Alligator mississippiensis: one gene and its partner. The protein of the gene in region 2 purifies or fractionates together with the protein of the main gene of each other region. This does not show direct contact. Links are inferred from orthologs where the notes say so. Each region holds a gene or a part of one and is shown on either strand. Other genes may lie near its edges.

The links. The genes of interacting proteins can lie anywhere in the genome.
Region 1: the proteins of TNRC6C (region 2) and protein argonaute-3 purify together in Homo sapiens (affinity purification with mass spectrometry; 3 studies listed by BioGRID and IntAct, with this or other methods). This does not show direct contact. The link is inferred for Alligator mississippiensis from reciprocal best matches to the Homo sapiens genes TNRC6C and AGO3.

The regions. Positions count from the first base shown.
Region 1 is NC_081829.1:9,020,430-9,028,171, forward strand, and holds the start of protein argonaute-3, read left to right. Parts: upstream 1-4,700; 5' UTR 4,701-4,910; coding exon 4,911-4,929; intron 4,930-7,742.
Region 2 is NC_081831.1:15,731,008-15,738,136, forward strand, and holds the start of TNRC6C (trinucleotide repeat-containing gene 6C protein), read right to left. Parts: upstream 3,100-7,129; 5' UTR 3,023-3,099; intron 72-3,022; exon of another isoform or gene 1-71. UniProt on the Homo sapiens protein: Plays a role in RNA-mediated gene silencing by micro-RNAs (miRNAs). Required for miRNA-dependent translational repression of complementary mRNAs by argonaute family proteins.

The DNA of each region.
Region 1 (7,742 bases), on a different chromosome or scaffold from region 2:
CTCCTGCAGTGTGTGTGTGTGTGAGGTCCAGCCTTGGTAATGTGGACTTATGGTATAAGCCAGGAGTTAGTAAATCATTGTCTGTTCAGCTCGGACTGGTAGAGGACATCTGCATGCTGGTTTGGGGGTCTGGGAGTTAGGAGTAGTGATGTCTGAGCCTGACTGTGCCTGCCCTTCCAGCTCTCACTATGATGGAAATCTCCTTTGCTAATATTACACATCAAATTCCCCATCTCCCCTATAATTAATCCTCACTGAGATACCCAGTTGTCACTGAATGGCCCACCCCTACTTTTATTTACAGCTGGGTAAAACTTTCTGACTGTCCATTCCCTATGGGTTACCTATCATAGCAAAAAGTTCAGGGTGTTGGCAGTGGCACTTAATTATCGTAGCCTGGCATATGCTAGGGGACTTCACCTCTGTAAACTAGACACTGTGCAGTGTGTGTCTTGGAGTTGAACAACTTATTTATCCAGACAGCTCTGTGCCATTCTATTACTACCCTTTATTGTGTCCCTGTTTCTGTTCCCAAGAGTTTTCCACTCACTCATCCGCTAGTAGAATATTTATATATTTTCCTCCTTCCTTCCCTCGTCCAGAGAGAGATTAGAAATGTGTGCAGCCCAGCTACAGGAGTACCACTGAGAAGTTAGTGCTTTCCATGTGTCACTGCAGACAGATCTGGTGCAAAATGCACTAATTCTGAGCTGCCTTTACACCAGTTGAAGTGCTCCACTGCAAGTACTTTCCCATGTATAGCAAGAGGTATTTGAAGTGCTTTCAGTGGTGAAAATCTTTAGTGTAGACAAGCCGTTTAATTTGAACTCCAAGCTCTTCAGTGTGGAATGACTTGTCCAGATTTGGGCTGGATTGGCACTGGGGTAACAAAAGAACACAGCCTGGGGACCTGGAACAGCAGCAGAACAGCAACAGCTCCGTTCCTCGCAGACAATGTGTGCGTTTTCACAAGTCTGTCTAGGATTAAGAAAAAAGCACTCAATCAGTTATCCACTGGCTCTTGGGTGCAAATTAAAACCTTGCCTTTGAGGTCAGTAAAAGGACTAAAGTACTGTTGCTCTTTGATTGTGATGTATAATGCCATTTACTTACAATCCCACTTCTTTAGAAGGCATGAGCTCCCCCTCTAATCTGCCTTGGGTTGGACATCTACCATAAACCACAGGCAGCTGTGGTTTAGTCTGCAGGAACATTATGTCCTGCTCTGATACTGTGCTGCCTGTCGGAAAACGTTTTTCTTGCTTCTGTGTAGAGGCAGGCTTTAGTCTAACTGTTTTTTCCCTTATTGATGTGTGTGGGAATATATCATGAGTGAGGGTTTAACCATCTTTCCCCCTTCCAAACCAGAAAGGCCTTATCTCTACTACACATCTTCAACAGCAATCAGTTCTTTCATTCCCCAGCTTCTATATAAATGTAAGTACCAATCAAGCTATTAATTTCCCTGTCAATTTGGGGTTTACTCTGCATCTCCCTGACTAACTTTCAGTGCAGTAAGAATCACATGCAGTCTGTCTCTCAGATATCACCATGCTTGGCAGTGGAGTACCAGCTTCAAGTCCAAAAACAGCAGTTGGCTTTTGTATGTGTGCGTGCATGCATAGAAAGAAATTCTCAGAAACTTTCCCTGTTGCTCTGCACTAAATAACTGAGCAAATTGGGCAGCTGGTTCCAGGCTCACTAACAGCATTTTCTAGGGATGGCGGTATAGGACTGTACATTTGGCATAGCTAATCCTGGCAGGAGGGCAATAGTAATACGGTGCAGAGAAGGGAACATAAAAATGACTGTTAATTTCCACCCTGCAGCCTACATTGCTTAACAGCCTTAGTTGGATCCTTTTTGCCCCTTGCTGCTTTAAAAAAAAAAAATGTTTTATTCTGCAAACTACTCTAAGGGCCCTTTATTTTCTTCATGGTCAGCTCTGTAAAATTCTGAAGCAGTTTATACTGACTGCTTTTAATAGTTGAACTGTAATACAGCTTTCCTCGCCAACCACGGTTTTGAGTATCCACACTTAATATTCTGTATACCATTTTGGCTACCACAGTATGCAGTTTTGAGTAACCACGGTTTTCCATGGCTGTGCATCAGCCCACCACCTGCCATTTTCCACCTACGCCTTTTGTCTTGCCAACCACAGGAACTTTCAGGAACCTAACCCCAGCGGTCAGCGAGGGAAACCTGTACTGGATTGTGGATAAGCACATCACCCTTCTAAGGGAATAATAAAATGCCTTTCTGATAGTACATCCCATCCTGTCAGGTTCCATCATTGATCAACTGAACTACAGAGTGAACTTTTATGTGGGCATCACTTCATCCATTCCTGTAAGACAGATGCATTCAGTAACCTGTGTATGCTCTGGGGAGCTTTAGTTTATTTCCTCTTGGGTTTTAGCTCACTTTTTCTTTTTACAGGGAATACAGGTACTAATTTTAAAGACAAATTTATCTTTTGCTACTAACATGCCTGCAGCTATTAAATATAATACCCATTTGAAAACACGGAGCTACTGCATCTCAACCAGTGCACCTGGCATGAATCTGAAAAAGAATCATAAAGACCAATCAAAAGTACAAGTGACTGATGTCTTCATCAACATGCAAAGAGTAAATGGAGAACAAAAAGCAAAGGTGGGTGTTTAACAGTTCTTTTGCTGTGTGACTGGCTCCCCTGACTGACAGAGTACAGGAAATGCAATAAAGTTGCATGAATTAATTTAGCCTCAAGGTTCTCTTCCAGCTTGTTTCTGTCACCTCTTGTGAACCACTTGACTCATTTCCAGGTCATAATTTCTCCCCACCAAACACACACAGCCTTTGCTGCTGCTTTTATATTTAAATTTCCTATTTTGGGAGTTGTTTTCATTGTATAAGATGTTTAAGTTAACTTGCCTAGATTTTATTTTTTGTGTCTCCTTTGTTCCTGTGAGTTCACTGCTTGCTTGTTTGCCTCTCCCAGCACTGCCCCTCTCCCCTCGCTTTCTCCCCTACCTTGCTCTTTGCATTCTGATTTCTCTTCCCTTATATTTTGCTTTCTACACATCCTTTCACAGCATCTGATGAAGTGAACTTCAGCTCGCAAAAGCTTGTGCGTTTGCGCTCTAATCTTTCGCTCTCCCTGGGGTGGGGAGAGTATATAAACTCTTTCTTTCTCTCCCTCTCCCTCTTTCTTTCTCTATATATGTATAATTTTCTCTATACATTACCTCTTTCATTCTCCTCTCCCTATCTCTCATATTATCTCTAATTTCTCTCTCTTATTCTCTCAACAGATATAGAGTATATATGTGTGTGTATTATATATTCTCTAGTCATCTCTCTCAACATATACATATGTTGAAGATGCTAGTGTTGTGTGTGTGTGTGTGTATTCTCTACTTTGAGATATATCATCTCTATGCACATATGTTGAAAGATAATGTGTGTGTTGAAATAATTATATATACTGTGTGTGTGTGTGTGTGTATGTATGTATGTGTGTGTGTGTATATGTATATATATATATATATATAATCTCCTATGTAATCTCTCTCTAGCTAGCTAGATATCTCTATCTCTACATGTAATTTCTCTCTACATAGAATATACATAGACACACTATACTCTATATTCACCTCTCAACATATATGTAGAGAAGTATGTATATATTTGCTCCCTCTCTCTCTCTCTCATGTGTGTGTGTAGGTATATATACACATCTCTCAACATATACATCTGTGTGCATATGTATAACATCCTTTATCTAAAAAAATCGATATATACACACGTGTGTGTGTGTATGTATATGTATATAATGGAGAGAGATATGTATACATAGAGAATTATGTTCAGAGAGAATATAAACTAAAAAAAATATATGTAATCTCTACATATAATCATCTCAACAGATATTTATATAGAGAATATATTCTATTCGCTATACATATAGTTCCTATATTCAATCTCAATATTTATATACTCTATGTAAGTATATATTCTTTCTCTATAGTCTCTATTTGTGTGTATATATAATCTCTACATATCTCAAATATGTATGTTGAGAGGAGATGATAGACATGGTGTCTGTATGCATACAGACGATTTCTCTGTGTAATGTGTGTGTGTGTGTGTATAAATATTGGATCCTCTCAAGATTATAGAGAAAATGTATATTGTTTATAATCTCTCTACATATAGAAAATCTCTCTGCGTGTGCACACACCTCTCTACACGTGTGTGATTATATGGATATGGAGAGAGAGAGAGAGAGTGCATATATTCTCTTTATACATATAATTTCTGTATATGTTGAGAAGAGAGATATTCTCAGCATTTATCTTCACATACGTCTTGAGATATAATGTTGAAAAGAGAGATGTAGGAACTATACGCTGTCTCTATGCATACATATATTACCTCTCTCAACATCTATATTGGATTGTGTCTCTATAGAGATTATAGAGGAAAATAAGTGCGTGTGTGTATAAAATCTCTAAATTGTTTCCCTACTTCCTCCCTCTGGCTCCGCCTAGCAACGGTTGCCCGGGCAACCTCGCCCCAGTTCCGGCCCCGCCTCCTTCCGCGCGTTCGCCGGAAGCTGTTCGCCGGAAGTGACCGCGACCGGCGTGTGGGCGGGGGTGGAACTTCCGGCGGTTGGTGCGCGCGGGGCGGCGCGGCCGACGGGGGCAGCGCGCGCCGGGGGCTGGCGGCGGCCACGCAGCGTCCGCCTCGGGGGGTGCCCGTCACGCTCCCGCTCGCCTCTCGCGCCGCCGGGCCCGGCTGAGGGCGGGCCGCCGCCCCCCGTCGCCCAGCCTCGCGCCCCGTCCGGCCGGCCGGACCCGGCGCCGTCGGGAGAGGCGGGAGCCGGCCCCTGCAGCGCGAGGGAGGCCGCCCCAGCTCCATGAATGGAAATCGGCAGCGCAGGTGAGCGCCGGGCCGGGCCCCTCGCGCTGGGGACACGTCCGCGGGCCCCTGGGAGCCCGTTGGCCAAGGCTGGAGTTGCCTCGAGCCCGTGTAGCGCTGGGCGGCGGGGACCCCGGCCCCACGTCCACACCCAGGGTCGTGGGAGCCCCGTGCCGGGACAGAGGGGCGTTCATCGGATGCCCCCGTGGCCCTCGCTGCTGTTTGGGGAGTGGGACCCCGGGTAGGGGGCTTTGCTCTCCGCCGAAACGGGCTCTCCGGTACCTCTCTACCATGGGGAAACTGAGGTTTGTACAGACCGGGTCGAAAGCAAGTCTCCCGCGGTGACTTCGAAGCACTCGGTAGATGTGCGAGTGCCCGTTAAAAAAATGCCTCGGGTCCCTGCCGACGGCTTCTCGGTGGATCAGTTTGGTCTCCGTTTCCGTCCGGCGCTGGCCAGCCCCCGAACCCGAGCGGTCGGAAACTAGAAAATATTCGGTTCTGTGCCATTGAGCCGTCTGATCTCTGCAGAGGAGTGTAAACAGAACGGTTTCCCCTTCCATCACCCATACAATATATGTGTGTGTGTGTGTACGTGTGTGTGCACAGACACATACACAACTAGCATCTTCAGATGATGGTATCTGACAAGTGGAAGCTCCGTCCTTGGAGATCGTTAAGACCCGGCTGGACAAAGCCGTGGCCGGGATGGTCCTGCTCTGAACAGGGCATTGGACTAGATGTGACCTCCCGAGGTCCACTCCCATCCAACCTCTTGTTTTAGTTATTGTTGTGAGAATTGGAAGCAGTCTCTGTAAAACTGATGGTTGTGAATTAAAGAACTGCCTATTAGCAGTTCTTATATCAAACCGATGCGGCCCATAGCTGTTAAGTAACTGATGGACTGTAGAATTCTTTAAAGCTCCGTCTAACGGTAGCCCAGCCTTGGGGCATAGTTGCAGAGATGATCAACCAATATAATCAAAACTGTTTTAATTACGAGTTATAGGGAGCCATATGTATTCAGTATTTTTCTAAAGAGGGAAAAAAAGTAAAGGTCTGTTTGTATTAAATTACTTTTGCTTCTGGTTTGTTTTGTTTTATCTTTTATTTTGTCTACTGCACAAGAGATTTGGGTTAAATTAGCAGTCTGATCAGGAGTTTTCACTAGCCCGTTTATCTTGAAATGCGGTGCTTATGACTTATAATAGTATGTGGATACTCCCCTGGTCTGAGATTCTTAAGAAAGGAGCTGTCTTAATATATCAAAGGAGATTACTTCAGTGCAGTAAGATGGAAAGTCAGCAGGAGAGTTTGTTTCCCCTTTGCTCATTCAGCGACATATTAGGGAGTTGAAGAACAAATGGAACTTCAGGAATTTTAGACTTGCAGTTTTCTTAGCTTCCAAAACATGTCAACACATGGTAAAAACATGAAAACTAAGCTGAAAGATTCAGTGTAAACAAACATGTACAGGCACACTTATGATTGATGGAGGGAGTTAAATTAATGCTGAATTTGGTCCTGGAAACATTAATCCGGATTACAGAAGCTATACTTTTCTTTAGTAAGAGATATGCCTGAACCAAAGCCATTTTAGGAGTTGCAGTGATCTGGTTTCATACTATTAACTTTGAATACCAATATTCTGAGAGTGTACGTGTGTGTGTAAAAATCCTAGCTGGCTTCTAACTGCTTGTAACCCATGTAGGACGCATTGCATCAACAATGTCTAACTTTGGTGGAATCTGGCCTGTGTGGCTTTTTGAAGGCTGGATGTGACCGCCCTCTGTGAGAGCCATTGTGTGGATGTTGCTTTGGAACTTGGGCCAAATGCCTCCCTCCCCCCTGCCACCTATTTGAGTCACTAGCAGTGACCAAAGACCCCAAATACAAGTGATGATCATATTCACCCTTTAGGGTCCAGAGTCATGTGGGCAGCAAGTTAAATCTCTTGTGGGCTGTATTTGACCCATGAACTGCCACTTGAACAGCTCTGTGTTACATTACATCATTGGTAGGGCATTGGCAGCGCCCACATCCTCCTGTTTTACCTGTGACAATTTAGGGCGTTCTTGGTAGGAGTTTTGTGACCGGTTGATTTGTATGTAATAGTATAGACCAAATACTTGGATGATTTAGAAAGGGATGATCCTGCCTTGAGCAGGGGCTTGAACTCCTGAGGTCCCTTCCAGCTCTATTGTTCTGTAAACACAGCTCCCCTTTCTTCAGAATGGGATAATTTGCAGGTAGAATAGATAATGGAAACGCCCACTTCACGCAAGACCTTTGGCTTTCAGTCTGAGTATGCTGTTCTACCATCCAAAATAATTTAGCCGTGTTTCACCTCAGGCTGTTTTTCAGAGGTGGTTATGCTTATTCTATATAAATGTTCTCAGAGGATGATTTACTCAGTTGAATTCAAGGTCAGTATGAACTTTTAATCAATTTTTTAAGCTAAATGAGGTTTCTGTTAGTTCTTCAATCACACCAGTTCATCTCTTGCAAGACTATTACTATATTTGCTTGTAGCAAATGGTACAGTTAAGGTAGATAGTGCTAGCTGAGACTGCAAAGACATTACAGTCCATTTGATGACATTTGTTAGTCTGTTGCTGTGTTCCCCATACATGCTTCCAAATCTAGTCAACATTGGACAGGCCCAACTGAATAAGGGTGTCTGTGGCTCCAGGGATAGAAAAGAGACCTCAGTTTCAAGCACCTTTTTAGTAGCTCATAAACCAAAGTAGCAGCTGATAGTGCTGCTTAATGTCTGCCAGCATAGTGCTATTGTCTTATCTGTGCCCATAGAGCTGAACAAATTGATACCTGAATTT
Region 2 (7,129 bases):
ATTAATTAATTACATGAAGACATTCATGGAAGGGGTGGGAGGTAGTGGGGGCTTTGCGCTATGCAAATTACCTGGGGAGGGGCAGTTGTAAATTTGTTTCCTATTGTTTTTCTCACCAGAAGGTACAGAGTCGAAACTGCATGTTAAGTCAGTGTGGCTAACCTGCAGGCACCAGACACAGCATCAGAGAGATTTAAAGTCATCTGTCTTGTACAGCTGAGACAAGCGGTGAGAATAAGATATCTCAAAAATAAAGAGAGAGAGAAAGAAAGAGGAGCTTGTAAAGCCCACAGCTCTGTGCCGCCATTTTCTTTCACTGAGAAGGGTGGATATGAAATCAATTTCACACATGCCGAAATGGCTGTTCAAAAGGGTTTTGCTCGTAGGAAGTTAACAGGACATGCTCAAAGGAGCCAGCGCTGGGGAGCATTTTGTTTTGCATACGGAGATTGCTTGCATGTGGCATGAGCCAAAATATTAAACCATTAAAAAAAAAAAAAATCAAAGCTCTGTGTATAACTTCAAAGTATATTCTCCACCCTCTCACTCAAATGTCATTAATCAAAGGAGAAGAAGGAATGACCAATTATAATGGATGGTTAGGGCTTGGAGAGGAAAAAACGTTTCAAATAATGTTTAAGTGAATGTGTTGCTTAGGTTGAATCACGGAGGCAAGTGTAAAATGTGATATAGGCAGGTCCTGCACCCGCTCCCATTTGCGCGCAGCCCTACTCATACATGCTCAGCCCTGCAAAGCTACACCAAAGCCGCCCAGCACCTGGATATTACTACTAAAGAGCTCTATTCCTATACCACCATGCCAGCAGTGGCCCCGCTGGTACTTTGCCAATCCCCAACAATAGTGAGTCTTTTGCATCCCCATCTAGTCCAGTTCTAAGCCCTTCTCTGCAACTTATTTTTTTCCTTGTGATCTTAAGGAAACTTTGAACTCGGGTGTACACAGCTGAAGGCTTGATGTAGTCACACCATAGCACTAGAAGGAGCTCTTGACATCCTACTGGCGTTGGCCACTCAGTTTGTTCCAGATGACATGGCCCAAGTATCTCACTTTGCCCCACTTCTGGTAGATGTTGCCACATTGTTCTCTCACCTTACGTTTTGGATTATGGAACTATGTGCAACTATACTTGCAAAATATATGTTACAGTGACCTGTTTTGCAAATACTCTTTAAGTCCTTCTTTAATTGTTGAGAATTATTTAATGTCAGAAGTCAAAGAACCATAAATATTGACAGCACATTTTGGACCTTGCTTTCCCCACTATTATCCTGATCAGACTGTTCTTACTTCAGCATTTTCTACTCCTACCAACTTCTCATTTTTTTAATAAAATTCATTTCTCCAACATTTTTTCTAAATATTTTGCTTTTCCTCTTGTTTCTCCAGCTCCCTGGAATGCTATCCTCCTTATGCATCCCATCCTCAAGTCTCTTCTATCAGGCTCATAGTCCCCTTTCATCCTCCCTATGTAGTCAAGTGCTGCAGTTGTACTGAATGCTACCAGTAGTTGACTTTGTTGCTTGTGATGTTTTCGCTTTCTCACCAAATATACTCTTTAGCACTCAGCTGTAGGGTGTTATAAATATAACATCATTTACTCTCAATTTCTTCAACACATTTTAAAATGTTGGGTTTGTTTTCTTAAACTCACCTTTAAAATAAAATCCCACCCTGGCTGTGTGATTGCCCTTGCTATTGTACCAATCTTCCTGTTAATTGGTAACTGTTAAATTCAGATTATATACCAAGCAGTTTACATCCAGAACAAAACAGGACTGCCAATCTGCTTTGCAAACAAATGCTTTCCTTCAAGAACAAAGATTTTTAAAAACCTCTCTGCTAACTTTTAAATGCTCATTGAAAACGCTCTTATTTTCAAGGTTTTCCACTTTGAATAACCACAGCTTTCTTTTTTTTAATCTCAAAAGAGAGCAATCGGAAAGAGAAGAAAGGACTGGTAAAGAAAATGATTAGAGGAATGGGTACACGACAAAAGGAGAGAAACTTCATCCCTTCCCATTCTAAGTGCAAGGCACACTTCTTCAAGCTGCTTTCTCTAGTGCAGACAGAGCAGTGTCTGCATTTTACAAAAAAACCCCAAACCAATAGCCTACCAAAACAAACTACCGTACTATGCACATAATGCTTCCCCTTGGGGGGACAAGGCGGGGCGAGAAGAGACAGAGATGAACCACATGCGACATGCTAGCCACATCACTTAATATGCTACTAGAATGTGTTCAAATATTACAGTGATGATGAGCATGATATGAAATCCTGGGTTTTATTCCTCTATCACATATTTTATGTATGGCTTTAGACAAATCACTTTTCTATCTTCCCTCAGGATCCTGGACAGTGGAATATGGTAACCCAGTGCCTACCTCATAGCTGTGTTATGAGACATGAGACACGGAAGTTTACTGTGTGCAATGCATTATTTTATTAAACAGGCACTGCTTTCTGATTGACAGTGCTTGAAGGGAATATGCTCGCAGCATGCAACACCTAAAGATGCAAAGGACCCATTTAGAGGGGTACAGGTTGGTGTAATGAAGACTGAAGGGATATGCTTAAATAAGGGAAAATGAAGACAAGACATCAACCCCCTCCCCCCAACATTTACAGACTTACTGCTTATGTTTAACTGAACAAACACTAGACAGCGTGCTCTGCTAATATTTGAGGAAGAAAAAAATTGCATTAGTCTGAGGGTAGATTTAAGTCTTTTCTATCCATGTTTTGTGAATCTGCAAAACCCTTCCTACAATATTAATAACCCATCTATTTCCATTACCAAAGCAGCAGCCACTCTCCATTTTTCACCAGGATGAGCAGGTAATTTTGGCAAAATGAGGGAGGGGAAAAAAATCCAGCTCTTCCATGGCAAACAAATGTATACAACATCCCCGACAGCTGGTCCTTGCCCTTTGTGGTCCACAGTCCCCCTCAAGGCTCACAGAAAACTTAGTGAAAGGTAACCCTCAGGTATAAGCTCACCCTCTCTTCAAAGCCTGGGATCTCTTCTTTTCTTCTGTTTGTTCCTTAACTCTCTCCTGAGACTTGATTACTTGTGTCTCCTCAGCCTTGCACCATCTGTCCTTGGATACCCTTTGTTATCAAATCTATTCCCACAGCTCCAGCTACTTCAGGGATCTGCAACAAACTCCCAAGAATTTCCCCTCCCAGGGCTCCAAACCCTTCAATTCACCTGCTTCTTAAGCCTCCTCCTAAGTAATACAGGAGAGCTATTATTACTGTATGCGAGGTCTGGAGGGTGGCAGCAGAAAACAAAGGATAGACTCTATTTTGTAGCTCAGGGAGCTTATCTTCAGGGAACGGCATTGTGGAATCAATGCCAGACTGAACTTGCAATCAGGTACGTAAGAAAAAGGTCAGTTTACATCGATCAGTCCTGCCCTGGGCTAGTTCCTTTAGTTTGCTTAGGCTAAGCAGCCAGCTTCATATATCATGAACCAGACCCCCAAGTTCAAGGGACTAGGTCAAAAGCCAAGGGGCAGTCTCACACTCCCTCTCGTGTATTTGAGTGAGGGACATTGCTTTAGGCATTTCAGTCTGCCATTTTGGAGTTTAGCTCTCCCTGCCAGCACAGGAGAGTTTCAGCAGTGCTAGACAGAGTAAGGTGACTTTGGGCAATACTATGTTTTAGGGGCTCTCCCTGGAAGACCCAGGTAAAAATAATAGTAATAATAAAATTAAATTAAATTAAATAAAAATCAAACTATGCTGATTATCCAGAATGCCTTCTGGGGGCAGGGGGATTTCAGCTTTGATGCCAAATCAAACCTCCAAATTTTAGTTTGTTCTGGCTTCCCCTCAGCCCAGCAATTCATCCATTATGGCCTTTGGTGCAGCCACCTCAGACTGGGCTTTTGGCACCTGTGGGACAAATTGGCTGCTCCTACCCAACAGGCAGGAAAATTAGGAATACCATTAAGCGGAGGATGTTGCCTCCAGACAAGGCTGAAAATGTTGCGATGCCTAAGGCTTCTCGTGTCGATCCAAGCTTGGCTTCATCCAACTCCACAGTTCCCTTTCAAATGGCCAGAGCTGGTGGCTCCAGCAACGTAAATGTTGAAATAAAAGTGAATGAGCTATGAGATGCATCCTAGAGAGCAGAGCAGAGGCTATTATATCCTGGGCTCACAACCCCAGCCCGATCCTTCAGCTGAGAAAGCTAGGGAGACATGACTTTCCCGTCTGGACTCTTCCCTGGTCTCTAACTCTACTCAGAGAAAAGGGAGCTTGTTCACAAGCCCCTATCCAAACATACTTCCCACCCAGTTCAGTTTCCAGCATCCCTCTGGGGACTACGCATTTAAAAGCTCCATTTTTGTAGGGCTGCATTTGGGAGTCAGCTATGCTAGGTTTGTAACTGCTTTTAAAATGACGGTTGCACTTTGTTACAGTCCCCATGCTGGTTTACATGCTCAGTGCCAGTTTTGATGTGAGTGGGAGAGTAGGGACTCAAATTCAAGAGCTGCTGCGAGCTCTCAGTTGTCACCGACTTCAGATGGAATATATGGTTTTGAGACTCAAAACTACAAACGTATTCTGAAGTGCCTTCCCCCCCCCCCCGTATAGGCATGCTGGTCAGCTCATTGACTAATGAGAAACACCACTTCTATATTGGTTGTAAAATAAGAAAACGCCCGCTAGCTAGAAATGCTGGAACTTTCAAGAGAAGCAAAGACCTTTAGGTAATGGGAAAGAAGACTGCGTTGAGAAAACGAATAAAGGTTTGGTTCTAGGAGAGACGAACAAAAAAGACAGGGCAGGGAGGAGGGAACTCAACCAATAAGTTCAGGCCTTAGTCACAGCCCTGGAGTTAGAAATGGTCAAGTGTTCCCATCAAAGCATTTTTGCCAAATCAGACAGTATTTAATTTTGGCAAGACAATCTTAGTCTGAAACGTTTTTATTGGCTGGTTTCTAGTTTTTCAACAAGAAAAAAAAACCAACAACTTTAGAAACGAAAGAGTTTTAGAAGAAGCTTAAGAATTCTGTTTCCATTTCTCGTTTAAATACTAGATCCCTCCCCACACTCCCAAGCAAGCAGGCAAGAATTTTTTCCTTCAGAGCTTCCCACAAGGAAACATAACCGGGATTTTTAACCCATGCTAACTAGAACCAAGACATGTTTATGGCATTATTTTAGTTAACAAGGTATAGTTTGGCCCCATCTATACTGTAGCTTAACTATGTAATGGGTCTTTCGCAGTGGAAATGTAGAAAGATTCAAAGCTGGTTTATAACACTCTTATTCTCTTTAGTCTCTATTTTCTTCTTTTATTTTTGCATCAGATTTACCAGTATATTTTTTACATGATCTGTAAAGGGGGAAAATGAAGTAAAATTAGATGAAGTGGGGGGGAACCCCCCCCCCCCTTATTTTCAATCTCCTTTCCTATACCAAAGCCACCACAAAATTACCCAGCAATACCAGCTTTATTGGAAACCAACTCAACTTACTTTTACAAGAAAGAAAGAAAGAAAGAGAGACATATTCACCCCAATACAACAGGCTCTTCAAAGCAATTCCTTACCTCTTTTTTTCTTCTTTCTTTTATACAGGATGACAATTACTCAACCCAGCAGATTTCCCTTCCTGCTAGGCTGCTTCAAATAGCTTCACCTGGGACAATTGACCTCCAGTCTTCACAGCTAGGATAATATTACAGGGAAAGGGGGTTTCCTTCTTTGACTCTTAATCCTTGCACCTCTATGGATTATGCAGGGTTTATACAACTAGTGCCAACCTCATACTGAATTTGTAACTACTGTAGCCATGTATAGAGATCTCCTCTTTTCCTTCTCAATTCATCTCCTTTATGTCCTTGTTAAAGTCTTTCAGATTGACACACAGTTCCTGAAGCCTGACCTTCAAGGCCTCTTTTTTTTGCAGGTGCTGCCACTTGATTGAGGTTTAGACCCATTAAATTATTCTGGTTAATGATTTGAGGCATGATATCTGCTTTCTGACCCCATCCATTCCAAAACATTAACAGCTGTCCTGCCAACCCATCTTTACAGCTAACACCTACCATACAGCCCAACTACCACTTGAGTTTCTGTACTGATTACAGTCATAACAGATGCTCAATTTAATGATGTTAAATTGAGATCCCATCTACCAAAATCCAGCTGAAGTTAGATCCCATGAAACTTTCCAAAGAGGATCAAGAATAACATATTTTCTTGAGCGCCCTGTCCAACTTTTATTCCCTCCAGAAATCAAGTGCTGATGCTCAAGGTACTATTTTGGAATACACCTGTGTGTCTACACATTCATTAATGCACTGTAATTATGGCACATTAATTTTAGTGTCTAGAATAACAGGTACTAAATGCACTGTAACTGGCATTTTGTGTGACACTTAATGCCCATTGGACTAATCTACTGCGCATTAGCACAGTTTTTGCCAGCTGCACTAATGCACAGTAGAATTAGTCCAATGGGCTTTTAGCATCTCACGTAGATGAGCCCATTAACTGTTGTAGCTGCCTCTATGCTCTTTATGTACCTGGTGGGTGGCTTTGTAAGGGCTTTAAAATACAGTAGGCCTGTGCAAGTCGGCAGCGATCTGATCCGGCTTTGGACCCAGCCGCTTCGGGTGGCCACGATCTGATCCGGAGCTCTGGACCGCGTTTCCACCTTGATTGGGCCAAGAGCCACCTTGGAGATCTGGCCATAGGGTATAATGGGGAATCAATGAAATATCTATAACTTTGTTGTTTGTTGTCCAATTTGGATGAAACATTCAGGGATTGTAGCCTCTGCTGAGAGCATAAAATCTGCCAAACTTCAAGATCAGTGAAGCAGTTTGGGGGGAACTGTACCCCAAATTCTTGAAAGCCAAACTCCTGTCACGGCTGTGTGTTACAACACAGAGGGGTCAAAACTGCAGGTATAGTAGCTCTTATGGAGGCCACAAAGCCTGCCAAGTTTCAAGGAGATTGGTGCAGGGGTTTGGGGGGAACTACACCTCAAGTTGCGGACAAGCAAAACTCGTGACATGGGTGACACTGGGTGTGTTAAGGCGCAGCGAGGTGACAGCTGCAGGGATGGTGGCCCCTGCTGTGGCCA